Linked DNA regions of Macaca fascicularis. The protein of the gene in region 5 purifies or fractionates together with the protein of the main gene of each other region. This does not show direct contact. Links are inferred from orthologs where the notes say so. Each region holds a gene or a part of one and is shown on either strand. Other genes may lie near its edges.

Region 1 (3,740 bases), on a different chromosome or scaffold from region 5:
AGAAAGGTAGAACTGGAGGAGAGGGAGAAAAGAATAGGAAGAATCTGAAACAAAAGACCAGGGGGATATGCTTAGGGTGGAGGAGGAATTAGAATTTAACCTTGCCACAATGATGCACTCTCACACCTTTAGATAACCCACGTAGGAGGCACAGCAAGGACATTTCCATGCACAGAGTGTCCAGTAAACTGGTAAAGAAACCTGGCGTAACAGCTTTGGCTGTCTTTGAACATCATAACCCTGTTTTGGAGCTGCCACTTCAGAAGAATAGGCTCTGCTGCCACTTGTTCTTTGGTTCAGGACACAACATGAATTGGGTTGAATTTATCAGCAAGTCACAGGCATTTATTTAAGTCCTCAGAGAAACCTCTTCCTAATTTGATTTGTACTAATTAGCCCAGGAGCTCTTGCCTCAGGATAACATCAACCTAGTTCTTCATGTTAAGAGATCAAAGAATGAACAATTAGTATTCTAAGGTCATAAGGCCCCTTGAGCATGTCTAGATGAGTGCTTTACAAGCATTTTAAGGCTGGACTTTTCTGGGTCCTGCCCTGTCCCTTTCTTTGTGTGTGGGTTTTTTGTTTTTTCTTGTTCATTTGTTTGTTTGTTGTAATTGTCGTGTTGTTTTCATGTCCTCTCATGTGGTATTGGAATTGGTTCTGAAAGTGATCGAGCTAGAACTAAGTGAGCACCTTTTCTTTAACCATCCTTTGTTTCAGCATGCCCCTAGAAAGCCAAGGTTCCTTGAAACTTTTCTATATACCTGTATATGGAAACTACCAACTATTCCTTGTCCCTTTCATTTAGGAACATTGACTTCTAAAGCGCCGTAGAAGTTCTTGACAGTTAAGTGCATAATTACATTGGAAGAGGTTTTAGAAGAAAGGTTGTAGTGATTCAACTTTTTAACTGAAGGCCAGGCTGAGGAAAGGGGCTTCAAGTTCACCTCAAGGGATTTAGATGGAACATGGAAGAGGACTTTGGAATCTTCTTCTTTGGACAGGGTATTTTAAAGCCAAGTAATTTTGTTTACTTCTAGTGATATGATTCCTGGGAGAACTTTCTGTCTTTTTTGTAAGGTACTCAGGCCCCCTCAGGAGAGCTAAGGAACCTCCACCATTAGTGTTCTGCTGCTATATCTTAGAGACTGATAAATAGAAAGTGAATTTTGAATCCAGAGCTTTTCAAGCACCCGAAGACTTGAGAGCCCATATGGTAGGTTGAGTAAAATGGCAAATTCACCTCTCATAATTAATTTCCTTTTTAGGCATCAACTTCTAACTCATCTCGCCAAGAGAGGCCTCCAGTGAAACCCTTCATTCTCACTCGGAACACGGCCCAAGCCAAGTAGGTAGTACTAGAAAGGGGTTTGCTTTGCAGCCCTCTGCTTTTATGGTTCAATGTGGCAATTCATGAGTGACCCACAGACTGAGTGATGTTGAAAAGTCATGAACTCGGGCCGGGCGCGGTGGCTCAAGCCTGTAATCCCAGCACTTTGGGAGGCCGAGGCGGGTGGATCACGAGGTCAGGAGATCGAGACTATCCTGGCTAACATGGTGAAACCCCGTCTCTACTAAAAATACAAAAAACTAGCCGGGCGTGGTGGCGGGCGCCTGTAGTCTCAGCTACTTGGGAGGCTGAGGCGGGAGAATGGCGTGAACCCGGGAGGTGGAGCTTGCAGTGAGCCGAGATCACGCCACTGCCCTCCAGCCTGGGAGACACAGTGAGACTCCGTCTCAAAAAAAAAAAAAAAAAAGAAAAGTCATGAACTCGGCCGGGCACAGTGTCTCACACCTGTAATCCTAGCACTTTGGGAGGCCGAGATGGGTGGATCACCTGAGGTCGGGAGTTCGAAACTAGCCTGACCAACATGGAGAAACCCCGTCTCTACTAAAAATACAAAATTAGCTGGGCGTGGTGGCACATGCCTGTAATCCCAGCTACTAGGGAGGCCGAGGCAGGAGAGTCGATTGAACCTGGGAGGCAGAGGTTGCAGTGAGCTGAGATCACGCCACTGCCCTCCAGCCTAGGCAACAAGAGTGAAACTCCGTCTCAAAAAAAAAAAAAAAAAAGAAAAGAAAAGTCATGATCTCACCTACGGAAGTTGTTCTTTTATCAAAGGGATATTATCTCTCCCGAAACTTTCACCATGTCTGTCTTCCTCAGACACTTCCTTCGCAAACTCAAGCTTAAAAATAGGCACACATGGGCCAGGCATGGTGGCTCACGCCTGTAATCCCAGCCCTTTGGGAGGCCGAGGCAGGCGGGTCACCTGAGGTCAGGAGTTCAAGACCAGCCTGGCCAACATGGCAAAGCCCTATCTCTACTAAAAATAGAAAAATGAGCCAGGCATGTTGGTGGGCACCTGTAATCCCAGCTACTCAGGAGGCTGAGGCAGGAGAATCGCATGAACCCAGGAGGTAGAGGCTGCAATGAGCTGAGATCACCCCACTACACTCCAGCCTGGTCGACAGAGTGAGACTCCATCTAAAAAAAAAAAAAAAAAAAGGCGGACCTGTAAACAAACAAATAAAACAGAAAAAAGGAAAATAATTGAACGGGGAATTGTATACTTTAAAGGGTTTTTTTTGTTTTGTTTTGTTTTGTCTTTTAAACATTATTCGCACTCTTCCTGCCTTCAGCTACAATTCTCAAAAGGACATATTTGCCTCCCTGTGATTTAATTCTGAGTTCTTGAGATACTTTTCCCTAGGGTGGCATGAGAGTCTCCTTGTTTTCTGTACCTTTCAGAGTCACCAACTGTGAATACCCATTCCACGGTGTCTTCACTGCTTTGTGGAGTATTGGCCTCTGGGATTGCTTAATGGGAGATGATCCTGGGCTATTTATCTTCTCATGAAAGCTCTGGACTTTAATGCCCCTTTCTGGATGCCTCTTTTTACATATCCTCCCGTGAGTTTGCACAACTCCTCAGAAGTTGACTGGGTAGGGAACAAGGCTGAAATGGACACAGACTTTGTTGTTAAAGAGACTTTTTAGTAGTAGTTTTTTTTTTCGTTTTCTAAATGCAGTGTAATTTTTGCAGAGTATTTGGAGCTGGTTATCCAAGTCTGGCAACTATGACGGTGAGTGACTGGTATGAGCAACATCGGAAATATGGAGCATTACCGGATCAGGGAATAGCCAAGGCAACACCAGGTATGACGGGGTAGGAGGGAAATAGTTGTACCACTGGTCTTTTACTCCCTGGCAATTAAGTTCTCACCAAGTATAGTTGCCCTTTAGGAGCAGAAATAGTGGGGACAAAGATTCTGAGTAATAGAAAGATTCTAGGCAGTATTATGTTTATTATTAGATAGCAGATGATTATGGGAGGATGGGGACAGTGGTAGCATAGTTTGTAAATCTCTCCAAATGTCATGACATAAAAACAGAGCAAGCTGTGTAGAAAACTCAGTCTATGGATAGCAGTTCCACATCTGGTAATGGCAGAGTAGGTTGTATCAGGCCAGCCCTTCATACAGGATAACAATTACAAACTGAACAAAATATTTTTAAAAACAACTACCTGAAGGTACTGGAAGGTCACCAAAACAGGTGTAAGCTGAAGGAGAGTCAGCACTTACAAGGAGGAAATGATACTTGGAACTCCTTGAGGGCAGGGACTTTGGCTTACTGTACCTTTAATGCCCAACTTAGTAATTGGGTCATAGTGGGTACTTGGAATTGTCTTTGGAAGGGCAAGATGGAGAGGGTGGCCATCAAAAAGGTGGAAGCA
Region 2 (3,740 bases), about 48 Mb from region 5:
CACAGTGAAAGCAAGCTAAATGCCCACCAGTGAGGGGCCTGGCTAAACAGGCTATGAGCTAGAAGCATATGCTGGAATCCTAGGGAGGGAGAGTTGGTAAGAGCTGACATGGAATGCTCTCCCCAAGGCACATTATGGAGTAAAAATGCTGGGTACAGAACACTATGTATACTGTGATCGCATCTCTACAACAATATGTTTTCAGTATACAAATGTACTTATATACGCATTACATTTTTCTAGGTGGATACCTCAAAACTGTTAATAGTTTATTCTATGCAGCGAAGTTGGGGGAAGGGAGGAGAAAGAAAACGATTAATTTTCATTTTCAATCCTTTTGAAGTTCTTTGAATTTTTTGACCATGCTTATATACTGCCCTATCTGGAAAAATATTGAAGAGCTTTAATTTTTCAAGTCCCTGCTAAAAAATAAATCTATGTTCTTTTTTGTTAATTATACATCTTGCTAGTTGTGTACCTTGCTTCCTTCGTACACCCATCCCAGGCCCTGTACACCAAAAGCAACTTGGTTGGCAGAGACGTCTAGACATGTGACAGGCGGGCCGTGGGCATAAAGGAGGGTTCTGGCAGAGTCTTCGGCTTTGAGCAGGTACATCAGATCTCCAGCAGCGGCTACTGCCACAGGGTACCTTCCAGTTTCTGGAACTATTTCAAGGTACTGAACCTGTTAAAAGGTAAGAGTTGTTTAGTCCCACAAATTCATCCTGACTTGGTCAAAAATATGCAATTCCACCTACACATCAATGCGAAGGCCAGCAACCCAACAGAAAAAAGATGGGCAAATGAAACACCCACAGGAAATGAAACACAAACAGCTCTTACACAACAGAAAAGATGTTCAGTGTAAGAGAAACATAAGACATGCCTAAAAAGAGAAATACAAAATGAAAATTCATTGAAATATGATGCTTCATCTTTCATATCGGTAAAGATCAAGAAATCTGATAACACCCTAGGCTGGAAGTGAAGGAGGGAAAAACCATGTTCCATGTTTCTGGATTCCACTTATTGCTGGTGGGGACATAAATCTTGTCCAGCTTCTATCAAGGGAACTTTGGCAACTCTTATCAAAATACCAAATGAACATACACTCTGACCTAGGACATCCACTTCTAGAAGTTACTTACAAATAAACTCACAAATATAAAAAATAATTATATACAAGGTTATTCATGAACTGTAGTACAATTGTGTCTTAGCTAAAAACTAGAAAAACGGAAACACCCATTACTAAGGGACTAATTAAGTAACTTAGTGTATCTATACACTGGAATACCATGCAGTCATAGAGGGAAGCATGAAAACGTTCTTTATAAAACGAAACAAATGGGATGATTCTCCAAGATATACTTAGCGGGTAAAGCAAGGATGCAAGATGAGTAAGGTAACCTCACCTGCTGAATGTGTACAAGGTGGGGGCGGAGAAAGTACACCACACGCTTGACTCGCACATCCATAAATCTACTAACAATGGCTGCCTTCAAGGAGGGAAGTGGATTATGAGATGCAGAGATTTCCCACCATCAGCCTTATTGTGTCTTTTAAATTCTGAACCATGGGGATGTAATAGCAATTCAAAAAATAAAAGGTTTTTTGTTTGTTTGTTTTGTGTGTGGTTTTTTTTTGTTTGTTTTTACAAGAAACTGAATAAATAACATTCACTCAGTTCCAAATTCGCAAAAAAGAATATTTTAACATTCGTGCCAAAATGTGTGGCCAAAAGGTTCAAAATATCCAAGTGATCTGCTGTCTCCTGGTTTCAATGTCATCAGGGTCCATCTGGCCACCAGAGGGTAAGGAAGGGATCTACAAACACATTTTTCTACCCACCCTGCTCCCCAGTCCTGAATGCGTCACCACCGGCACATTGTCTAATGTGCACGAGTCTGAGACGCACTTTTCAAGAATAATTTGATTCTGTCCATCCACAGGCGGCCCATTTCTCCACGGTGCTGTTCCCAACAGGCTTTCGCCTCTTCGAGTAAATCACGAGAGGACACATGGAAGGTGAGCCACGCTGTGTAATAATGAAAATCCACAGTGTGAAAGGACAGCGCTGCCCTGACCATACGCCAAAGAGTTCAAAGCCGGCCTCCGGAACACCGTCCAGAGGAGCTGGAGGGAGCGTCAACATCCGGGGGACTCTCCTAATCCTTGGGCCCAGCTTCACAAGCAGCAGGTCCATCACAAAGGACAGCCGCTCTAGGCTAATATCGCAGACCTGGGAACACTGCCACTGCCATTCAGGGGCGTATATGGACAAGACAAAACTGGCTTGGCTCTTCGGGCCAGGGGTGCCTTTTCCAAGGATACTCAGAGCATTTTGTGGGAACCTTTCACCCAAAGTGAAAAATAATTCCTAAACCATGCATAAAACCCGCCTCAGACAATGGCTGCTTGGTTCCTCTCACTCCTCCAAATCATTTGTTATTTTCCTACAACGGACATCCTCTGTCTAGCCCTTTAACTTTATCTCCGTGTTGGCTTTCTGACAGACCAAGAGGCTGAGACTGACAGTGGTGGTGCCATTTGCTGGGGGCTGTAAACTACTTCAAAAAGCTTCCAGTCTGTGCCAGGATGCCACCTTATTGCCAAGGCAGGATTTGCACTTTACAGAGAAACTGGCATCTTAAGTATCTGGGTCCATTTAGTGATTGCTGGTCTACAGTATTCTTTAATCACAGACTAAATAGTACTTTGGAAGTTTTGAGAACAGAAATATACTTTCACATTTTTCTAATAAAACCCAGATGAGTTGACATCATCAGGCCATCTTGGGGGAGCACTATTTCCAAAGTGCAGATGCTCATGGAGGTGAAGCAGTGATGCCATGGCTTTCTAAGTTATTCTAGTCTAAGATTTCCACCAGAGAGGAAGAGGGAGGAACAGGATTGGTTCCAGGTCAGGCCCTCAATTCATCACTCAGTGTTGGCTTTTCTGCTCACTCTCCTACCAGTGCCAAAATCAAGTTTGTTTAAATTAAATCCAAACTCAGCATAGACAGATTTGAGAACTTCCTTCTTAGCCCCAAATCATCTCCCACTCTACAAATATAGAGGTTCCTGTATAAATGAACTCAGAAATAAGCTCGACATAAAGAATTCTTAAGGCTGGCTGAACTGCACAGGTGACATCCTGGAACATGGCTACCCCATTAACACCGACTTAAATCTATCTTCACTCAGGAGTTACTTTCAATTTCAGGTGAGACAGTCTTGGGATGAAGGAAGTGTAGGAATGGAAACCTTCCTTCCCATATGGACTGGGATAACACCACTGAACTCATTCTCGCTTATATATTAGGTCAGAAACTGATCATCAATTCCCAAGGGTAAGATTCCACCGTGTTAGTCTGAAAAAGGCCAAGGAACCACAGTGATGAGCAGCTCTGACCCTGAAGTCAGCCCTAAGGTTTGAATCACAACTTCTTAGCTCTGAGAACTGGGGCAAGCCAGTTCACTGCTCTAAGCAGCAAAGTGACTTCTTGGTAAATGGGGAAAACACTACTACCTATTTTGTAAGGCTGTAGTTAGATTTATGGATGTAAGGCCCACAGGAAGCTCTGAGTGAATGGGAGTTACCAATGCCATTAGTACATGCTTATATTAGACCCAGAGATTCTAAGAATAGAAAATAAAATGACCAGACTAAAAAGCTCACCAGTTTCGGAACTTCAAATTCCGCAGCTATCTGCCAGTACCCCTCCTCACTGGGGGACA
Region 3 (4,271 bases), on a different chromosome or scaffold from region 5:
AGGGAGAGCAAAATTGGGAGACCAAATGTTTTTTGTGATGCATGAGAAATAATAAGTCGGCCGGGCGCGGTGGCTCACGCCTGTAATCCCAGCACTTTGGGAGGCCGAGGCGGGCGGATCACAAGGTCAGGAGATCGAGACCACGGTGAAACCCCGTCTCTACTAAAAATACAAAAAATTAGCCGGGCGCGGTTGTGGGCGCCTGTAGTCCCAGCTACTCGGGAGGCTGAGGCAGGAGAATGGCGTGAACCCGGGAGGCGGAGCTTGCAGTGAGCCGAGATCGCGCCACTGCACTCCAGCCTGGGCGACAGAGCGAGACTCCGTCTAAAAAAAAAAAAATAATAATAATAATAATAATAAGTCTTCGGGAGTGTCAGTAACCACCTCCTGGGATTTCAGAGTTCCAGGGGTCGGAGGTAAGCTCTTAATAGCTGTGCCTCACTGGCTCACCCCTGGCTATTAGATCCCCTCCCCAGAGAATCGCCTTCTGAGGACTTTGTGACCGCACACCGTAGTTCCTGCTCTTCCCCCGGTTGCCAGTGTCTGGTGGGTGAGTGAGCTCACTTGTGACTGGGGCATGAAGGAGATGATCCTAGGGAGTCTCTTAACTTAGTCCAGAAATCCTCCTTCCATTGCTTGCTTTGTCTCCTTTTTCCCTTGAAGTTTATTTGTTAAAGACAGACTAACCAACCTGCCTGGTTGTCTGTGCTGGAGTGTTTCCCAGGCCGTTGTGTAGCACCGTTGCCTCCGTGTGGGGTCATTGAACACGCTCCCCTGTCTTCAGGTTCCGTTGCCTCCGTGTGGGGTCATTGAACACGCTCCCCTGTCTTCAGGTTCTGTTGCCTCCGTGTGGGGTCATTGAACACGCTCCCATCTGCAGGTTCTGGAGCTTTGGTCACATTCACTTTTTTGGTAAGATTACTTTATAGGCACAGGCAAAATCCTGAAGGTATGATTTTAAAAATTGTTACCATTGCAAAAAATAGCACCTCAAACAAGAACAGTTGTGTTATTTTTACCCATCTGCCTTCCGCTCAATTCTTGGCCCTTATTAGCAAGGTCATGTCTAACAACCATGCAAAGCAGCATCCTCCCTGCCCTCCCTGGCACACTTCACCCGTTTGGTGCCTGTGTATGCTCCACGTGGTTACCTGTTAGTCATCTGTCTCCCTCAGACTAGCAGCCAGCCTGGTTCATGCTGCTCAGCACTGTGCCGAGGCGCCATGGTGCCTGTCGTGTTGAAGGGAGGGTCTGCACATGCGCTGCTCTGCAGCTGTGTTAGTGGTCGTGTCCTTTTATCAGTTGTGGTGGTGCCCTGCTCCCCTTATTCTTCACAGTATTGTTCGGAGCGGTGCATAAAGGGAGCAGGGCCTGAGGACTTTCCGTTGCCCTTTGAATTGCCACAGTCTTAATTTTGGAGATTGACCTGGACTTGGGAATGAAAGAAAAATGGAAAAGTGAGTGAAATTGGTTTAAATTCCTCATGCAGACTCCTCTCTCTCAAAATACTGCTTCATCTTGGAGGTGAGCTGTGATCCTTGTGTGGCTGGTCAAATTAGCAAATTTCCTGCCCCTGTGTAAGACACTGGGGCCTCACTGGGGCCAGTTTGGACTTCGGAAGTTTAATCACTGTAAGGCTGACAGAGCACTTTCAGATTGGTTGTCTGATTTAATCTTCATTTTAGCCCTGTCATGTAGGTAACACCATTCCTATTTTGAATTAAGCAGATCAGAGTAAAAAACAATTTAAAGCATTATTCTTTGTATGTCGCAGAACCAGAAATTGAAATTATTTTTCAATATCTGTACCCTATTTTGTCATTGGCATACTTGCAGCCTGAATGTCGTTATTGCTGACTGTGTAATTTGGGGTCCTGCGGGCACCGCTGAAGTGCCGCTCCTAGACTCTCAGGGGCCTGGATGAGAGGCCTGGGCTGCTGCATTGCCATGAAAGTAGAGGCATTACACGGAGCACATTGCAATGCAAATGTGAAATATTCTGACTTTAAAAATCATGCTAACTAACACTTGACTCACAAAGATGTTGTTCTAAAGTAGGGGCAGATTCCTTCACCTACTTGCTTTTAAGTTATTTAAATCTCTCTGAAAAGGATTTCCAAAACTGAAATTCTAAATAAAAGCCAATGGCAGATATGGGTCATCGGGAAGGATAGACATGAGACCTCAGCAGACCCTGTCTTAGTGGATTAGACGGGCAAGTTCTTGGAGTCAGCACAGCCAGAGCTTAGCCGTGACATTGGCACTGGAGGAGAGGAGCCCAAGCCAGGTAAACCTGATGGTGGGTGTTCTAGAAGGTTTGGGGGACTAAGGATAGTGAAGAGAAAAGCAAAAGCAATAAAATGTAAGTACGACTTTTAAAATTTACATTTATTTTTTAATTTTCAAAGGAAGCTGCGTCAACATTAGGAAGTTTAGTAGAAAAACGTGACTAATAATTATAATAAAAATGCTGTTAGTCTTTTTAACTGTCTTTCTTTAAAATAAGTATATTTTTCTTTTCTTGTTTTTTTTTTTTTTAGGCAAGGTCTCACTCCATTTGCCCAGACTGGAGCATAGTGGCGCAGTCACGGCTCGCTTGTAGCCTCAGTTTCCCGGACTCGAGTGGGTTCTCCCACTTTAGCCTCCCAAGTAGCTGGGACTATAGGCGTGTGCCACTACGCCAGCTAATTTTTTGCATTTTTAGTAGAGGCCAGGTTTTCGCCATGTTGTTGCCTACCCTGGTCTTGAACTCCTGGGCTCAAGCTATCTGCCAGCCTCAGCCTCCCAAAGTGCTGGGACTATAGGCATGAGCCACCGCGCCCAGACCTATTTTAATTCTAATAAAGCAGCTAAAATTACTACCTGCGACTGGGTGCGGTGGCTCATGCCTGTAATCCCAGCACTTTGGGAGGCCGAGGCAGGCAGATCACTTGAGGTCAGGAGTTCAAGACCAGCCTGGCCAACATGGCGAAAACCTGTCTCTACTAAAAATACAAAAATTAGGCAGGTGTGGTGGTGCATGCCTGTAATCCCAGCTACTTGGGAAGCTGAGGTAGGAGAATCGCTTGAACCCAGGAGGCGGAGGTTGCAGTGAGCTGAGATCGCGCCATTTCACTCCAGCCTGGGCCACAGAGCTAGACTCAGTCTCAAATAAAATAACTATATGCAAATTTATATTGTTTTTCACTTAGTATATAGTAAGCGTTTTCCCAAATTATTACTCTCTCCATTATTGTTCTTAGCGATATGTTACAGTTCTTCCAGTAACTATTTAGAGACAAGATCTTGCTGTGTTGCCCAGATTGGAGTGCAGTGGTGCTATCATAGCTCACTGCAGCCTTGAACTCCTGGGCTCAAGCGATCTTCCCACCTCAGCCTCCCAACTAGGTAGGACTACAGGCACGTTCCACCATACCCAGCTAATTGCATCAAGTAACTTTTTGTTTGAGATGAAGTCTCGCTCTGTCACCCAGGCTGGAGTGCAGTAGCATGATCTCCACTCACTGCAGCCTCCGCCTCCCGGGTTCAAGTCATTCTCCCACCTCAGCCTCCCGAGTAGCTGGGATTACAGGCACACGTCACCACACCTGGCTAATTTTTGTATTTTTTAGTAGAAATGGGGTTTTGCCACGTTGGCCAGGCTGGTCTCGAACTCCTAACCTCAGGTGATCCACCTGCCTGAGCCTTTCAAAGTGCTGGGATTACAGGTATGAGCCATTGCACCTGGCTGCATCAAGTAACTTTAAAAAGTTAACTTTAGGCTGGGTGTGGTAGCTCAAGCATTAGATTCGAGTCTAGCACTTTGGGTGGCCTAGGCAGGAGGATGCCTTGAAGCCAAGAGTTTGAGACCAGCCCAGGCAACATAGCAAGGCCTTGTCTCTACCAAAAATTTCAAAAATAGCTGGGTGTAATGGGTGGTGTCTGCTTCTAGTCCTGGCTACTCTGGAGGCTAAGGTAGAAGGATGGCTTGAACTTCAGTGAGCTATGATTGTGCCACTCACTCCAGCCTGGGCAACAGTGTGAGACCCTCACAGGCATTTTTTTAAAGATGTTACTTTAACTTATTTTATTTAAACTGAAGAGTATAAAAAAATTTTTTTTTTAATCTTTCTTGATTCTAAGACCCCAGATTAGCCTCTGTTAACTTTGTGTGTTGGTGTGTAGGGGGGTTAGTAAGCAAACTGTATTTGAAGAATAATGAGAAGAATAAAAGCTGCTCACCTGTTTCTCTGTCTCCAAAAACACCACCATTAACATCTGATGTGTCTAGA
Region 4 (4,215 bases), on a different chromosome or scaffold from region 5:
CCCCTCTTCCAGCAACAATGTTGTTTCTTGAACTCAGCGGTGGTTATACAAGTGTGTCCACATTTTAATCAGTCATTGAAATGTACATGCACACTTGTGATTTCTGCACATTTCCATATAACACTGTGCTTCAATTTTACAAATTTTAAGTTCACAACCCATTGGGAGAGGTATCTATACAGGGAAATAACTATGGATCCGTTTGGTAAACAAATGTAGAACTCAAGTACCTTGCACTCTTGAAGCAGCTGAATCCAGTGCGCGCAGGGGGCTACCTGCATGCCAATTCCCCGCCCAATAATCTTGGGCAGGTTACCAAAGTGTGAAGACCTTGACTGAAAAATGGGAGTAATAAGACAAATACCTGATATTGTTGTAAGGATTTAATATAACCTATGTAAAGTGGACAGAAGTGCTCCGCAGGCGCAGAGCAGGTGCTCAAGAAATGCCAGGACCAAAATACCACGAAACTGTGATTTTTATGAGGAAAAGGATCTTTTCTTTAGCGCTCAACGAGGAAATATCATGGGGTCGTGCGCAGTGGCTGACGCCTGTAATCCCAACGCTTTGGAAGGCCTAAGCGGGAGGATTGCTTAATTTCAGGAGTTCGAGACTAGCCCAGGCAACATAACGAGATCTCGTCTCAAAAAAAAAAAAAAAAAATTTTGTTTTAATTAGCTAGCGTTGCGCGGTGGCCGTAAGGTGGCCAATGAGGTTTATGCGAAGCACGATTATTGCTAATTGAAAACTTTTCCCAATACCCCACCGTGACGACTTGCAATATAGTCGGCATTGGCAATCTTTAACAGTCTCTACGGAGCCTATTTCAGTAAAAATAAATAAATAAATAAATAAATAAATAAATAAATAAGTTGAGGGCAGTGGTGCGCGCCTGTAGTCCACCCTTATTGGCTGGCGCGGGAGGATGGCTTGAGCCCAAGGTTTCCAGCTTGGGCGACAGAACAAGACACCTTATCTAGAAAAAAAGAAAACATAAATACTTCGGGCGAAATATCCAGGGCCAGCATCCTTGGAGAGGGCGCTCTCACGAAGGAGCGTGGCCCGAGGTGCCGGGACGCGGAAAAGACGTCTTCCTGGACCGGTGAATTTTTGCAGCTCCACTTACTCCGGCCGCGCCCGCACACCAGCCCAGCTCCACTTTCTGCCGCCCGCGTCCCCTTTAAGACGGAGCCATGACATAATCCCCCACGCTGCGCAGCCTACCTTGGCAACACCGCGACCACTTTTTTCCGGATGACCTCAATTGGCTGGCCAGCCTCCGGAGGCCCCGCCCCCTGCGCGCTGGCAGCCCCGGGCGGCTGCTGTCAATCGGACCAGGTGGGAGCGGTGATTGGCCGCGGGGCCCGCCCTCCAGGAAGCCCCGCGGGGCTCGCGTAGGCTGCACGCTCGGGGAGGGAGGGGCGCGGCGCCGCGTCGGGAGCCGCCGCTGTCCCGGTCCTCCCGCCCGCCCGCCCGCCCGCCCGCCCTCCGGTCCCTCCTGCAGCCCGCCTGCTGGGCAGGGCCGGCGTGGCCCGGCCATGGAGTCCTACGACATCATCGCCAACCAGCCCGTGGTCATCGACAACGTGAGGCCCGGCAGCCAGGGGGAGGGCGGGCGCCCCGCCCCCGGGGGCGCACGCGGCGGCGCAGGGAGAGACCCCCGCCCGCCTCGGCGCGTCCTCCGTTCACTGCTTGGCCGTCGCCCCCGCCGGGCCGCTGGCGTCGCTCCTGGGGCGCGCGCCCACTTGGCCCTGTAAGGCCGGCCATGGGGCGAGCCCCCTCGCCCGCGTTGCAGAGCCCCTTCCCCGACCCCTCCCCGAGCCGGGCGGGGAAGTTCAGGAGAGCTTGAGTGACGGCCGGGCGGCCGGGCGGGGACGCGCCCCGGACCCTTCTCAGCTGAGAGTGCGGTCCCTGGGCAGATTTCAACCCCAGTCCCTTTCCCCGTCCTTCGGCCCTGGCTCTGGCTGCCTGGCGGAGGTGGGGTGGCATTTGTCCTTTGCACACTGCTGGCTTCATCTTTGAGGCTGCACCCCGAGGCAACAAATGCAGGATACTCTGTCACCCACATGTCCACCACCATCTGGTTTGCCTCTTGGCTACTTTGACTTTTTCCTTAAATGCTCCCTGTGCTGGGCAAACATTTCACGGCCAGCAGAGCAATGGAGAGTTCATGGCCACACTTCCCAGTATCAGCAAGCTATTTGGGGTGATCATTTGGAAGCCTCAGAGGAAAGATGTCAGGCGTCCTGTGGTTTTGGCCTTCGGCAGTGGGGCTCGGCTTGCTTTCAGCTACCGTAGGAAGATTTCTGGCCTCCGAGCTCTGATACGGGGAGAAGATAAGGGCTGGGATCTTTGAGTCTGCCCCTAGCTGGGTGTCTGCGTCTGGTGTGCGGGCCTTGGAGTTTTTGGTAATGACTCACTTCTGCTCTTTCTGGGATCTGTCTCCCTCCCACATGACCCCGTGGGGTCCCTGAATGGCTGTCTGTTCTGGAGTACCCACGTGGGCTCCCTGAGTCACAGCAGAGGATGTTTAATGAGGAGGCTAGCACTGAGCTTGGCGACGTGGTGTCACACCAGTGGGACGCTGCAGGAAGGAGCAGGTTACCTCCTTTCTTTTTTTTTTTTTTTTTTTTTTTTTTTTGAGACGGAGTCTCGCTCTGTGGCCCAGGCTGGAGTGCAGTGGCGCGATCTCGGCTCACTGCAAGCTCCGCCTCCCGGGTTCACGCCATTCTCCTGCCTCAGCCTCCCGAGTAGCTGGGACTACAGGCGCCCACAACCGCGCCCGGCTAATTTTTTGTATTTTTAGTAGAGACGGGGTTTCACCGTGGTCTCGATCTCCTGACCTTGTGATCCGCCCGCCTCGGCCTCCCAAAGTGCTGAGATTACAGGCGTGAGCCACCGCGCCCGGCATTACCTCCTTTCTTGATGTGCAAATAACTCGTATGGGCTAATCAACAGGCTTCTAAGTTCAAAGGGCTACCACTAGGCCCCTTGGAGATTCCAGCCTCTCCTCTGTAACTTGGAGATGTTTGTTTCTGCTGCAGACTCAGAGGGTTGCGATGAAGAGCGGTGGAGCTGCGTTGAGAAGCTGGCCCCTTCGCTGGGTGGGAGGTTTCTAATTGCCCGGTTCTTTGGGGGATCCTTAAGTCCAGCTGCCAGGTGGGGGCAGCGATAGGAGCAGGTTCTCCTAGTAGTCTCTGGGGAAGCCACATGAGGGGAGCTGCCAGTCATCCCATGCACCTATTGGTCTTCTCCAGCAGGTCCTGTAGGTGGTCCATGTTCCATGCCTTCTGGGTTCTTGGGGGAGAGGGAAGCTGTTGAAAAAAAAAAAAAAAAACCCATGCAAAGGGGTTTCTTGTAGCTTTTGGGAGTAGCATGTGCTATGGAATCCTCCTGCTGGAGCCGACTATGAGGTGTGCAGAGGAAGGTGCCCTTCATGGTTTCTCTCTCTCTGTATTATTGCATTGGGCTAGGTCATTGTTGGTAGTGCAGGCTCACTTGTGCATTGTAGGATGTTTAGCAGCATCCCTGGCCTCTGCCCACTAGATGCTAATAGCATCCCCCACTGCATGTCCCCTCTCCCCAGCTGCCAGACATTGCCAAATGTTGCCAGGGCAGGGGGATACAAAATTGCTCCCAGTCTTGAACCATTGATGTACTTGTAAATGATCCTGGCAGGGTCCCTGGCTTCCTCCTTGGCCTGCCTTGACAGGGCAGCCAGCTCTCTCCATTGCAGGGGACTGGCTTCATCTGGTGGTGTGTGTGGGCCGTTAAACTTTGTTTTTCCTTGCAGGGTTCGGGGGTGATTAAAGCCGGCTTTGCAGGAGACCAGATTCCCAAATACTGTTTCCCAAACTAGTAAGTGTGGCTCGGGCAGCAGCCTCAGTCCTTCTGTTTATCTTCTGTGAGAACATTAGCCTTCTGTCACAGCACTCTTTGAAGACAATTTTTGCCCTGACCTGTATGGAAAACACCAAATTTGTGAGATTGACACTCGAGAGAGCACTGAAAGAACAAGACTAAGCGTTCTAGGGTTCCCCTTTGTCTTTGGAGTCTCTCAGTTTGGTGGTGTTGAGCCAGCAAGGAGGAAAAGCAGCCAGTATTTCCCTGGGGATGGGGTGTGGTAGCAGCAGCAAGAATAAAGGGAGACACCTCCAAGGGGAGCCCTAAGCTCAGATCAGGAGGAGTGAGGAATTAGATGCACAGCCACCCTTT
Region 5 (3,421 bases):
ATGGTGGCTCCCATCCTTAAAAGCTCAGTAGTTGTCAAAGGTGTTTGATAACATTGGTTCTTGCAGGTGTCATTAAATGTCTTGAGCTGGGCATGGTGGCATGTGCCAGTAGTTTCATCCATTCAAGAGACTGAGGCAGAAAGATTGCTTATGCCCAGGAGGTTGGGGCTGTAGTGTGCTATGATGGTGCCTGGTGAACAGTCATTGCACTCCAGTCTAGGCAACATAGCAAGACACTGTCTTTTTAAAAAGAAAGAAACAAAGCCTTACATGTAGAAGGATGAAGTGAAAAGTTTCATAAGCCAAGTTAGTGTTATTTTTGGATATGACATCTGAAATATCTGTTGTGTCTCACATCTAGAACACAAAGCAGTCTCAGAATTTTCTCAGCCAGAAGTAAAAAGAACTTTATACAAATTATGAGTATAAATTAGTAGTTTAGAAGACCAGAGTCTTTATGAATTTATTGTAAAATAAATAATAGGGCATTGACAGATTTATCAGTAAGGAATAGGAAGAGAAGGGTTGATTGATAATATATGCAGTTCACATTATGAAAAGAGTAGTCAGCTAGAGAAAAGAATTTTGAAATGGAAACTTGACTTGCTTAGTTAGGAAATAGGGAATGAAGTGACTGACCTGTTCAGTTTACAGCATGGAAGATGGAGGGAAAATAGGAATAGAAATGAGACATAAGGACTAAAATTAATTTGTTCTTATTAAATTTGGTCTGGGAAATTCGTAGTATGCATTTCTTTTTTTTAGGCCTTAGGACATTTCATTTGTGATAGAGATACCAGGTGATTATTAAGCGGTTCATGAAGTGTATAGTGGTTGACATACAGGACAAATATTTTCATGTCTTGTGCTGGGAATTACAGATTGGATTCAGAAGAGAATCTGAATTTCAGTTCAAAAGTAACTGCTTTAAGACTCACTTTAACCTTTGGGAGGTAGTATTGTATAGTGTGTGCTTATAGATCTGAAGCCAGACTGCTTGGGTTTGAACCCCAGCTTTTTATGTTCATCCTAGTTGGGTAACTTTGGATAGGAAAGTAAACCTCTTGGCCTCATTTTTATCATGTGTAAAATGGATAATAATGGAGCCTATCCAAGAGGATTGTTTTAAAGATTAGTCAATATGAAGTATTTAAAGAGTGCCTGGTATATAATAAGCAATCAATCTTTAAAATGTTAAACACATCACCTATCATTATCCATTACTGCTTATTAGAAAACAGGAATTTTAAGCCTGCCGTGCATTTAGCTAATAAATGTTTATGCTTATAGGTGGTGAAATTGCCTCTACCTTTGATCACCCAGAACTGGTGAAGCTTGGAAGTTGCAAACTTATCGAGGAAGTCATGATTGGAGAAGACAAACTCATTCACTTTTCTGGGGTTGCCCTTGGTGAGTGATTATGTAGATCCTGGTTAAGGTGTCTAAATTCTTGCTAGGCTCTGTTGAAGTAAAGGCTATTGTAATTACTAGAATAGTGTATCTTACAAGTCTTAACTCTTCAGAAGCATGATACATATTTTGTTTCAGTCTCTTGAGGTCAATCTTGTATTACTGTGTCTTTGTGAAAAGTGCATGTTCAACATAGTTTTTTTCCTTGATAACTTAGAACCATTATGAACCTTGATTGTTGGAGAATGTATAATACAGGAAGACAGATCAGCTTTCAGAACCCAGTAATATAACCAACACCTGTATAAATAATAGAAGGCAAACTTTTTGTCCCTAAGTGGTCACTGTGACTTTTAATTTTAGGTGAGGCTTGTACCATTGTTTTGCGTGGTGCCACTCAACAAATTTTAGATGAAGCAGAAAGATCTTTGCATGACGCTCTTTGTGTTCTTGCGCAAACTGTAAAGGACTCTAGAACAGTTTATGGAGGAGGTAAGCATTTAGAAAATGTTGAATATTTTTATTTCTTGAAGTACAATATAAGTCATAAGTGGTTTTAATGGTTCTTATAGAAACTTTATATTGCCTTTGCACTAAATTTTAAAATGCTTGGCATATCTTAAAGTCAGTAATTCAGTATCTTGGAGACAACTAAGTTTTACAATATTTTGTTGGAAATTTAATCTATAGGCTGTTCTGAGATGTTGATGGCTCATGCTGTGACACAGCTTGCCAATAGAACACCAGGCAAAGAAGCTGTTGCAATGGAGTCTTACGCTAAAGCACTGAGAATGGTAAGTTAATCAGAATGAGAGATCTGAACTTAAGTTTTGTGGTTATTGATAGTTTTAAAATGAGTAGAAAATAAACTGGTTAATACTGCTTTTAAATTTAATTCTGGAGTTTCTCTTCTTCGTGAGCAGTAATTGAAGCAGATATTACATTGTTTCTAAATGCATAATTTTAAAAAGCTATCCTAGTTAGGAGTAAATCAGTGGTTCTTAGAGTGAGTAGTTACTTGTTTTCTTCATTTCATAGTTGCCAACCATCATAGCTGACAATGCAGGCTATGACAGTGCAGACCTGGTGGCCCAGCTCAGGGCTGCTCACAGTGAAGGCAATACCACTGCTGGACTGGGTAAGCAATCAAGGGGAACTTTGTGGCCGTTGTTAAAAGTAACTCTTTTCACCGGCCCTTTTTTTCTTTTGGAGCATAAAGAGTTAACGATAACCAACCATATAAAAGACTCTTCTGCTTTGTCCTCGTAACCATTATATGTGCTGGGAAAATGTGTGTGACTTTATATGCTCAGCATTTCCCAAACTTTGTTATTCCATAAGACATATAAAACTGATTAGAAGATTTGTAACTATTTGGTATATAATGACTATAGGATTTAAATATAAACAATACTTACACTCTGGAAAATAACATAAACTATTATGTTGCTTATACAATCAGTATTAACTCCTAATTTCATAGTAAACTTACTGCGAGATAATCTTGAGTACAGATCACAGATCTCCAGTCCATAGGTAAGAGTGGCCAATGAGGCAGATTTAATTCGTATTGAAAAACTTTCTGACAAGCTGTGCTGGACATTATAGAGTAGTCTTAAGAAGATAGATAATCCTGTCATTGAACAAGAGGGAGCACCGGTTAATCTGTGAGAAAGTGAAGCAGGATTCTCACAAGAAGAGAAGTTGTGTAGATGACTTCTGAATTTTCTTCCATTTGTTTTTCTTTTTTTTTTTTTTTTGAGACAGAGTCTCACTCTGTCTCCCAGGCCGGAGTGCAGTGGCCGGATCTCGGCTCACTGCAGGCTCCGCCTCCCAGGTTTACACCATTCTCCTGCCTCAGCCTCCCAAGTAGCTGGGACTACAGGTGCCCGCCACCTCGCCCGGCTAGTTTTTTTGTATTTTTTAGTAGAGACGGGGTTTCACCGTGTTAGCCAGGATGGTCTCAATCTCCTGACCCCGTGATCCGCCCGTCTCGGCCTCACAAAGTGCT
Region 6 (3,740 bases), on a different chromosome or scaffold from region 5:
AGAGGCTTGCTACTCTCTGCTTCCCTAGACAACACTATTAAACTGACCAGGTGAGTGATTTGGGGAGGAAGGTGGAGACTGGGCTGTTTGGTGTTGAGTAGCATGGAATTAGTATCAGTGTTATGATGACCTTAGCTCTTTTTTTTTGGTCTGAGACTGTGTCTTCTGAGATCTATTTAAAATACATTGCTTTTAGAAGTGGGCACAGCAGGTTACAAAACTGTGTTTCTTATTTCTTTAAAATTATATATATTACAAAAAATGTCTTAAGCATATTTTAAGGAGATGAGAATAAAACTCTAAAGTTGGTGGAGGCCAGCCGTGGTGGCTCACACCTGTAATCTTAGCACTTTGGGAGGCGAGGCAGGCGGATCATCTGAGGGTCAGGGGTTTGAGACCAGCCTGGCCAACATGGTGAAACCCGTCTTTACTAAAAATACAAAGATTAGCTGGGCATGGTGTCAGAAACCTGTAATCCTAGCTACCAGGGAGGCTGAGGCAGGAGAATCACTTGAACCTGAGAAGTGGAGGTTGCAGTGAGCCAAGATCAAGCTACTGCACTCCAGCCTGGGTGACAGAGCAAGGCTGTGTCTCAAAAAAAAGTAGTAAATGAATAAATACATAAATAAATAAATAAAATTTAAAAATAAAGTTTGTGGAATGACAGGATGGAGGGAGCTTTGGTACCTGACATCAGAGTCACCATACTAGGTCGGTACTGTTTACTCCTAGTCCTGGTCTGTTACCTGGACAATTCTGTATAACAGAGATGTTCACCAAGCACTCACTGCCCTTGGGTACCATGATGACTTCTTTTATACCCTTACTTAGTTACAGTGTTTTATCTGTCACATGCTCTGTGAGTACTGTGAACCAGATGTGAGTGTGCTCCATGCCTTTATAAGTATTGTTTTAAAAATAAGGTAGAAAAATGTTACATACCAAAGTGTTGGTTGGATTATTATTTATTTATTTATTTATTTACGTATTTATTTTTGAGAGAGAGAGAGAGTCTTGCTCTGTCACCCAGGCTGGAGTGCAGTGGCGCAATCTCGGCTCACTACAACCTCCTCCTCCCGGGTTCAAGTGGTTCTCCTGCCTCAGCCTCCCGAGTAGCTGGGATTACAGATGCACGCCACCACCCCTGGCTAACTTTTGTATTTTTAGTAGACATGGGGTTTCGCCATGTTGGCCAGGCTGGTCTCAAATTCCTGACCTCAAGTGATCTGTCTGCCTCAGACTTCCAAAGTATGGGATTACAGGCATGAGCCACCATGCCCAGCCCCTTTAATTTATTATTTTACTTCTTTACAACTCAAGAGGAAAACCTGTGACCCCCAAAACAAATGTTATGGAATTTAAAGGAGTTACCTGGGCAGATCCTAGAAAAAATAGGAAATCCAGATAGTTTGGTTATATGAGTGTGTTCTCGGTAAGGGTTAATGATCATTTAAATGATAATCTTTACATCTTTGTCATGTATTTGATTTTCTTAATGCAGTTGTAAAAGTCTTTTGTAACTCCACAGCCTGGAGACAAATACCGTGGTCCAGACTTACAATGCTGGACGTCCTGTCTGGAGCTGTTGCTGGTGTCTTGATGAGACTAACTACATCTATGCTGGACTGGCCAATGGTTCAATTCTGGTATATGACGTGCGGAACACGAGCAGTCATGTGCAGGAGTTAGTAGCTCAGAAAGCCAGGTAGGGAGCCACTCACTCTTTTCCTGGTGGTAGCAACTGTCTCTTGGCTTATTATTGTGTTAATCGTCTCTTCAGAGGGTGTTACACAGTTGGTCAGAAATCCTTACAGTTTTTGAAGATCCACTTGATCTCACTTGAGAATTAATAACATTCTTGTTAACAAGAGTTTGTATTCATGATATTTCATATGACAGAGTTTTGGTACAAGTATTGCCAGGTTCATAGTCAGTATTATCTAACATGGCAAAACAGAGTCAGATCTATGTTCAGAACCTAGCTCCACTACTTAGAAGTTGTGTGACCTTAGTTGTGTTTCTTGGCCCATTGTGAGCTTAATCTGTAAAATCTGGTCCATATAGACTTGCTTTAATAGCCACATGTCACCGGGCACGGTGGCTCACGCCTGTAATCCCAGCACTTTGGGAAGACAAGACGGACAGATCACGAGGTCAGGAATTCGAGACCAGCCTGACCAACATGGTGAAACCCTGTCTGTACTAAAAATTCAAAAAAAAATTAGGCATGCATGGTGGCGCATGCCTGTAATCCCAGCTACTCAGGAGACTGAGGCAGAAGAATCTCTTCAATCTAGGAGGTGGAGGTTGCAGTGAGCCGAGATCGCACCATTGCACTCCAACCTGGATGACAGAGTGAGATGCCGTCTCAAAAAAAAAAATAGCCACGTGTCTAGCACATAGGAAGAGATCAGTTAAGGATAGCATAATCAAAAGTGATTTAAAACTTCCCTAATCCAAAGCTAAACCAACTTGTTTGAAGATACTGTATTATTATTATTTATCATTTAATCCAGTTGTGAGATTGAGAAGTTTATAAAGTCAGCCCAAGTTCTGAGGATGGATGGCCACCAGCACCACTCTGTTTTAGAATGTGTTGAGCTGCCCTGTATGTATGAAGTTCTCAGAAGGGAAGTAGGGTCTGTGTCCTGACCAAAATGAAAAGTATCTTAACAGATAATTTATGTTTCCAATTGGATATGTTAAGAGCAAGGAGAGCCAAACATAAAGATATCACTAAAGTAATAATTATTTACTGAAACCTAGGGCCAAATAGAGTAGACAGTAAAATACGGCAAGGTTTTTTTGTTTGTTTGTTTTTGGTGGTGGTGGTGGTGGTTTTTTATTTTTTTAAGACGGTGTCTCACTCTCACCCAGGCTAGAGTGCAGTGGCACAGTCTTGGCTCACTGCATCCTCCACCTCCCGAGTAGCTGGGACTACCAACATGCGCCACCACACCTGACTAACTTTTATATTTTTAGTAGAGATGGGGTTTCACCATGTTGGCCAGGCTAGTCTCAAACCTCAAGTGATTCTCCCACCTCGACTTCCCAAAGTGCTGGGATTACAGGTGTGATCCACCATGCCCAGCCAAACACGGCAAGTTTTAAAATAGCAAGAAAAAAATACTTGTCTGTCTTGTTCATTTTTATTTGTGTTTACTTTGATTACCTTTATTGTGACAGGGAAAATGAAATAAAACAGGCAAGTAGACTTTGGCAACTTTGGCATGAACGAGTTCACAGCAGAAATGAGTTCATAGGAACACAGTCTGAAGGAGGATATTTCTGAGAGAATTCTTGGCGCATAGTCCTGGTCATATGCTTGCAGAAGGAAATATAGAAAATCTAAAACAGTCCTGTTTCTGAATTAAAATGTAGCTGCTTTTAGCTGTATTTTAATTGTGGGGTCTGTCATCTACAACTTGGGATCTTTATTTTGTTTTTTTTTTTTTTTTTTTTTTTTTTGAGACGGAGTCTCGCTCTGTCGCCCAGGCTGGAGTGCAGTGGCGCGATCTCGGCTCACTGCAAGCTCCGCCTCCTGGGTTCACGCCATTCTCCTGCCTCAGCCTCCTGAGTAGCTAGGACTACAGGCGCCCGCCACCGCGCCCGGCTAATTTTTTGTATTTTTAGTAGAGACGGGGTTTCACTGTGGTCTCGATCTCCTGACCTTGTGATCCGCCCGCCTCGGCCTCCCAAAGTGCTGGGATTACAGGCTTGAGCCACCGCGCCCGGCCGGG
Region 7 (4,271 bases), on a different chromosome or scaffold from region 5:
GCACATTTCACATTAGAAAGGACTTTATAACTGCGGAGGAGACAAGGGACAGCAGGAACAAAGTTCTGAAGTCCAGAAACAGTATACATTATACAGGACACCATGAAAAGTTTGGTTTTATCAGTAATTTTTGAGTCATGGAGGGCCTTGAAGTTGCTGTTAATGTGATTAACCCAAATTACTTCACCTGTGTTCTACAACTGGGCCTTGAGTGGGAGAAGAAATGAAACTGGACAAGTCTCAGGCAAGAACAGTGTGGGACCCAATTAAGAAACTAAGGAAACAGTTTTGGGTAGAAGGAAACTTAAAGAGAAGAATAGCCAGAATCTTATTTTATTTTTATTTATAAAAGAGACAGGGTCTTGCCCTGTCGCTCAGGCTGGAGTGCTGCACGACCACGGCTCACTGGCCTCGTCCTTCTAGGTTCAAGCCATTTTCCCACCCCTGCCTTCCGAGTAGCGGGGACTACAGACGTATAACACCACGCCAGGCTAATTTTTGTATTTTTTGTAGAGATGGGGTCTCACTATGTTGCCCAGGCTGGTTTGGAACTCCTGGGCCCAAGTGATCCACTCCTCTCGGCCTCTCAAAGTGTTGGGATTACAGGTGTTAGTCACCGCTCCCGGCCTGCCAATGTTTTTCAGAGCGAGATCCCAGTACCACCTGAATCAAAATCAGCAGTCTGAGGTAAAAATGTCAGTTCAGCCCCAGGACTTCCCTAAAGAATTTGAGTCCTTCTGCAAGTTTTCTTTATTTTAGTCTTCTTACATGCAACTTCATTGTTAGAATTCTTTTCTAATAGGGATCTGGGGCACATAAGCTGGTCTAGCTGGTAATTACTGAGTGAAAAGGGGGCAAGATAGGCCTTAGCTGTTTTTATTAAAACTGTAGTCTGTACTGGTCTCAAAGACACATAAGCGATTTTTTTTTTTTTTTTTTTTTTTTTTGAGACGGAGTCTCACTCTTGTTGCCCAGGCTGGAGTGCAATGGCACGATCTCGGCTCACTGCAACCTCTGCCTCCTGGGTTCAAGCAATTCTGCCTCAGCCTCCTGAGTAACTGGGATTACAGGCATGTGCTACCGCGCCCGGCTGATTTTTTACTTTTAGTAAAGACGGGGTTTCATCATGTTGGCCAGGCTGGTCTTAAACTTCTGACCTCAGGTAATCCGCCCGCTTCAGCCTCCCAAAGTGCTGGGATTACAGGCGTGAGCCACCGCGCCCGGCCAAAGCGGCCTTCTTTAAGAAGCGCGGGTAACCCGGACTTCCCGCTCTGGCGCTGCGGCCGCTGAGGATCTGAGTGGGCTCCGCCCCGTCCCGGCCCCGCCCCTCTCGGCCTCCCGCCGCAATCTTGGCGGGAAGGAGCCGGCCACCGAGAAGCCGAAAGATGTCCAGGTCGGGCGCGGCGGCTGAGAAGGCGGACTCCAGACAGCGACCCCAGATGAAGGTGAGAAACGGATCGGTGCTTCCAGGTGTGCGCCTGCTTCGGTTTTTGTGAGGGTTATGCGGGACACAGGCCCGGAAGGTCGAGGGCGCCTGGTACCGGGGGTTGGCGGCGATCCCTGCCCTGAGGCCTTCGGCTTTGACGAAAGGTTCTCATCAATAACCCTAGAAATAGTGGGAGAGTCACATCTGGGATTCCCTTTCTTCAACCTTCTGCGTTTGCTTTTGCCACAGTTATGATCAGCTTCACACTCTTTAAATAATTCCAGACAATCCGCAGCTGACAGTGGGGTATTTGCTTCAGTCCAAATGCTAGTCATTATTATTGGTCTGGGAAACTCTGATGGGCACATGTGCCTAGTAAGTGAATTCTGTTGAGGTTAAGGTTAATGAATTACATATCTAGATTTTGGAGGGGGAAAAAAGTTTTCTTACAGGGTGTCAATTTGGATTTATTTATTTTTTTGAGCTTGAGTCTCGCTCTGTTGCCCAGGCTGGAGTGCAGTGGCATGATCTTGGCTCACTGCAACCTCCGCCTCCCGGGTTTAAGCGATTCTCCTGCCTCAGCCTCCTGAGTAGCTAGAATTACAGGCAGGTACCACCACACCCAATTTTTGTATTTTTAGTAGAGACGGCGGGGGGCGGGGGGTGGAGTGGGGGTGGGGGGGGGCGGCGGGTTTCATCATGTTGGCCAGGCTAATCTTGAACTCCTGACCTCAGGCCCTGCCTCAGCCTCCCAAAGTGCTGGGATTACAGGGGTAAGCCACCGCACCTGGCATCAATTTGGATTTATATTGTCATTGTGAAATGGGAATTATTAGATCTGCTGGGGATCCTGTAAGAAAAGGCACAGGACTTGGAATTCTAATACTCTCTTTTCTTTTATTGATCTGAATAGGTAAATGAATATAAAGAAAATCAAAACATCGCTTATGTGTCTCTGAGACCAGTACAGACTACAGTTTTAATAAAAACAGCTAAGGTCTATCTAGCCCCCTTTTCACTCAGTAATTACCAGCTAGACCAGCTTATGTGCCCCAAATCCCTATTAGAAAAGAATTCTAACAATGAAGTTGCGTGTAAGAAGACTAAAATAAAGAAAACTTGCAGAAGGATTATACCTCCAAAGAAGAAAACCACATCTAAGTCTGAATCCGTGCTGCAAAATTCAGCCTCAGCTGTTCATACTGAAAGTAACAAGCTACAATCCAAGAGAACGGCAGATGCGATGAATCTCAGTGTTGATGTGGAAAGTAGTCAGGATGGAGACAGTGATGAAGATATCACACCAGGCGTGGTAAGGACTTAATTAGTAGCTTGTTCTAGTATCTCTTTTTTTAAATGTGAAGTTCTGATAAATTGAAGTTTTTCAAGGCTCTCTCTGGTACAAACAAATTATTTTATCTAATAATGTAAGAATAAATGTAATAATACATTATTATTTTTAAGGTTTAACAAATAACTTCCTTGGGTTATTTTTGCTTTTGCTGTTGATGTGTCAATGAAAGGATTGACTTAATCTTTACTCTGCTTCCCTTTTTCTTTCTTTAAACTTCATATATTTTTGGGTTTACTCATACTTTATGGTGCCTTGCTCACCTTTACATATTTATGTACAGTATATCAGAAGTCATCAGTTTGTGGGATATATGGTATTGACTGACCCTTGATATCAGGGTAGGGAAACTGATTATATGGATGTGTTGAATAATATTTCCTTTAAATGCAAAAGGAGACAAATGACAGAGTAGATAAGATACATGAGAAATGCATTAATTAGTTCTATATAATTCCAATCAACTTAAGGAATTTGGTGTGTAATTTTTTTTTTTGGAGACCGAGTGTCGCTCTGTTGCTCATGCCGGAGTGCAGTGACACTATATTGGCTCTCTGCAACCTTGGCCTCCTGGATTCAATAGATTCTCCTCCCTCAGCCTCCTGAGTAGCTGGGATTACAGGTGCCCCACCATGCCTGGCTAGTTTTGTGTTTTTAGTAGAGACGGGTTTTCACCATGTTGGTCAGGCTGGTCTCTAACTCCTGACCTCCTGATCCACCCGCCTCAGCCTCCCAAGGTGCTGGGATTACAGTGGTGAGCCACTGCGCCCAGCCTGGTCTGTAATTCTTTTGGCTTCTACTGCCTACCAGGAGGGCTGTGCTCCATTCAAACTGACAACTTTTAACAGGATAAGATAAAATATAAAGCACATGACACAATGTTGCTGGAACTCAGGGAACAGAAAATGATAGTAGGGAAAGGGAGATACTATAATTGAAGGGTTATTGTTATGAAATAGAAGTTTGGTTTATGCTTTCTTACCCCAGAGTTAAGAACCAGGACTCATAGTGGGACAGCATAGGATAAGTATTAGATGAATTGGACTTGGGGTTGATAGCCTAGCATGGCCACTTCTTTTTTTTTTTTTTTTGAGACGGAGTCTTGCTCTGTTGCCCAGGCTGGAGTGCAGTGGCGCGATCTCGGCTTACTACAAGCTCCTCCTGCCGGGTTCACGCCATTCTCCTGCCTCAGTCTCCTGAGTAGCTGGGATTACAGGCGCCTGCCACCACCCCCAGCTAATTTTTTGTATTTTTAGTAGAGGGTTCCGCTTTGTTCGCCAGGATGGTCTCGATCTCCTGGACTTGTGATCCGCCCACCTCGGCCTCTCAAAGTGCTGGAATTACAGGCGTGAGCCACCGCACCCGGCCTAGCATGGTCACTTCTAAGAAACCTTGTTCCTTTAAGCAAATCACCTTAGTGAGGGGTTTGGATAAAATCTGTGGTTCTCAAACTTTAGGCTATATCAGAATTACCTGGATAGTGTGTTAAAACTC

The links.
Region 1: the proteins of CCT2 (region 5) and IGBP1 purify together in Homo sapiens (affinity purification with mass spectrometry; 4 studies listed by BioGRID and IntAct, with this or other methods). This does not show direct contact. The link is inferred for Macaca fascicularis from reciprocal best matches to the Homo sapiens genes CCT2 and IGBP1.
Region 2: the proteins of CCT2 (region 5) and FBXW8 purify together in Homo sapiens (co-immunoprecipitation; 3 studies listed by BioGRID and IntAct, with this or other methods). This does not show direct contact. The link is inferred for Macaca fascicularis from reciprocal best matches to the Homo sapiens genes CCT2 and FBXW8.
Region 3: the proteins of CCT2 (region 5) and GNB1 purify together in Homo sapiens (co-immunoprecipitation; 3 studies listed by BioGRID and IntAct, with this or other methods). This does not show direct contact. The link is inferred for Macaca fascicularis from reciprocal best matches to the Homo sapiens genes CCT2 and GNB1.
Region 4: the proteins of CCT2 (region 5) and ACTR1B purify together in Homo sapiens (affinity purification with mass spectrometry; 3 studies listed by BioGRID and IntAct, counting the BioPlex papers as one, with this or other methods). This does not show direct contact. The link is inferred for Macaca fascicularis from reciprocal best matches to the Homo sapiens genes CCT2 and ACTR1B.
Region 6: the proteins of CCT2 (region 5) and RFWD3 purify together in Homo sapiens (co-immunoprecipitation; 3 studies listed by BioGRID and IntAct, with this or other methods). This does not show direct contact. The link is inferred for Macaca fascicularis from reciprocal best matches to the Homo sapiens genes CCT2 and RFWD3.
Region 7: the proteins of CCT2 (region 5) and WDR76 purify together in Homo sapiens (affinity purification with mass spectrometry; 4 studies listed by BioGRID and IntAct, with this or other methods). This does not show direct contact. The link is inferred for Macaca fascicularis from reciprocal best matches to the Homo sapiens genes CCT2 and WDR76.

Annotation. Positions count from the first base shown.
Region 1 is NC_088395.1:76,905,057-76,908,796, forward strand, and holds part of IGBP1 (immunoglobulin-binding protein 1), read left to right. Parts: intron 1-1,268; coding exon 1,269-1,348; intron 1,349-3,047; coding exon 3,048-3,160; intron 3,161-3,740. UniProt on the Homo sapiens protein: Associated to surface IgM-receptor; may be involved in signal transduction.
Region 2 is NC_088385.1:123,950,158-123,953,897, reverse strand, and holds part of FBXW8 (F-box/WD repeat-containing protein 8), read right to left. Parts: coding exon 3,682-3,740; intron 686-3,681; coding exon 479-685; intron 1-478. UniProt on the Homo sapiens protein: Substrate-recognition component of the Cul7-RING(FBXW8) ubiquitin ligase complex, which mediates the ubiquitination and subsequent proteasomal degradation of target proteins.
Region 3 is NC_088375.1:232,963,787-232,968,057, forward strand, and holds the start of GNB1 (guanine nucleotide-binding protein G(I)/G(S)/G(T) subunit beta-1), read left to right. Parts: upstream 1-1,277; 5' UTR 1,278-1,457; intron 1,458-2,253; exon of another isoform or gene 2,254-2,362; intron 2,363-4,271. UniProt on the Homo sapiens protein: Guanine nucleotide-binding proteins (G proteins) are involved as a modulator or transducer in various transmembrane signaling systems.
Region 4 is NC_088387.1:2,056,461-2,060,675, reverse strand, and holds the start of ACTR1B (beta-centractin), read left to right. Parts: upstream 1-1,409; 5' UTR 1,410-1,538; coding exon 1,539-1,586; exon of another isoform or gene 1,587-2,408; intron 2,409-3,793; coding exon 3,794-3,858; intron 3,859-4,215. UniProt on the Homo sapiens protein: Component of a multi-subunit complex involved in microtubule based vesicle motility. It is associated with the centrosome.
Region 5 is NC_088385.1:76,371,168-76,374,588, forward strand, and holds part of CCT2 (T-complex protein 1 subunit beta), read left to right. Parts: intron 1-1,290; coding exon 1,291-1,410; intron 1,411-1,773; coding exon 1,774-1,902; intron 1,903-2,100; coding exon 2,101-2,204; intron 2,205-2,448; coding exon 2,449-2,548; intron 2,549-3,421. UniProt on the Homo sapiens protein: Component of the chaperonin-containing T-complex (TRiC), a molecular chaperone complex that assists the folding of actin, tubulin and other proteins upon ATP hydrolysis.
Region 6 is NC_088394.1:70,438,211-70,441,950, reverse strand, and holds part of RFWD3 (E3 ubiquitin-protein ligase RFWD3), read left to right. Parts: coding exon 1-50; intron 51-1,528; coding exon 1,529-1,705; intron 1,706-3,740. UniProt on the Homo sapiens protein: E3 ubiquitin-protein ligase required for the repair of DNA interstrand cross-links (ICL) in response to DNA damage. Plays a key role in RPA-mediated DNA damage signaling and repair.
Region 7 is NC_088381.1:20,412,756-20,417,026, forward strand, and holds the start of WDR76 (WD repeat-containing protein 76), read left to right. Parts: upstream 1-1,332; 5' UTR 1,333-1,385; coding exon 1,386-1,445; intron 1,446-2,339; coding exon 2,340-2,738; intron 2,739-4,271. UniProt on the Homo sapiens protein: Specifically binds 5-hydroxymethylcytosine (5hmC), suggesting that it acts as a specific reader of 5hmC.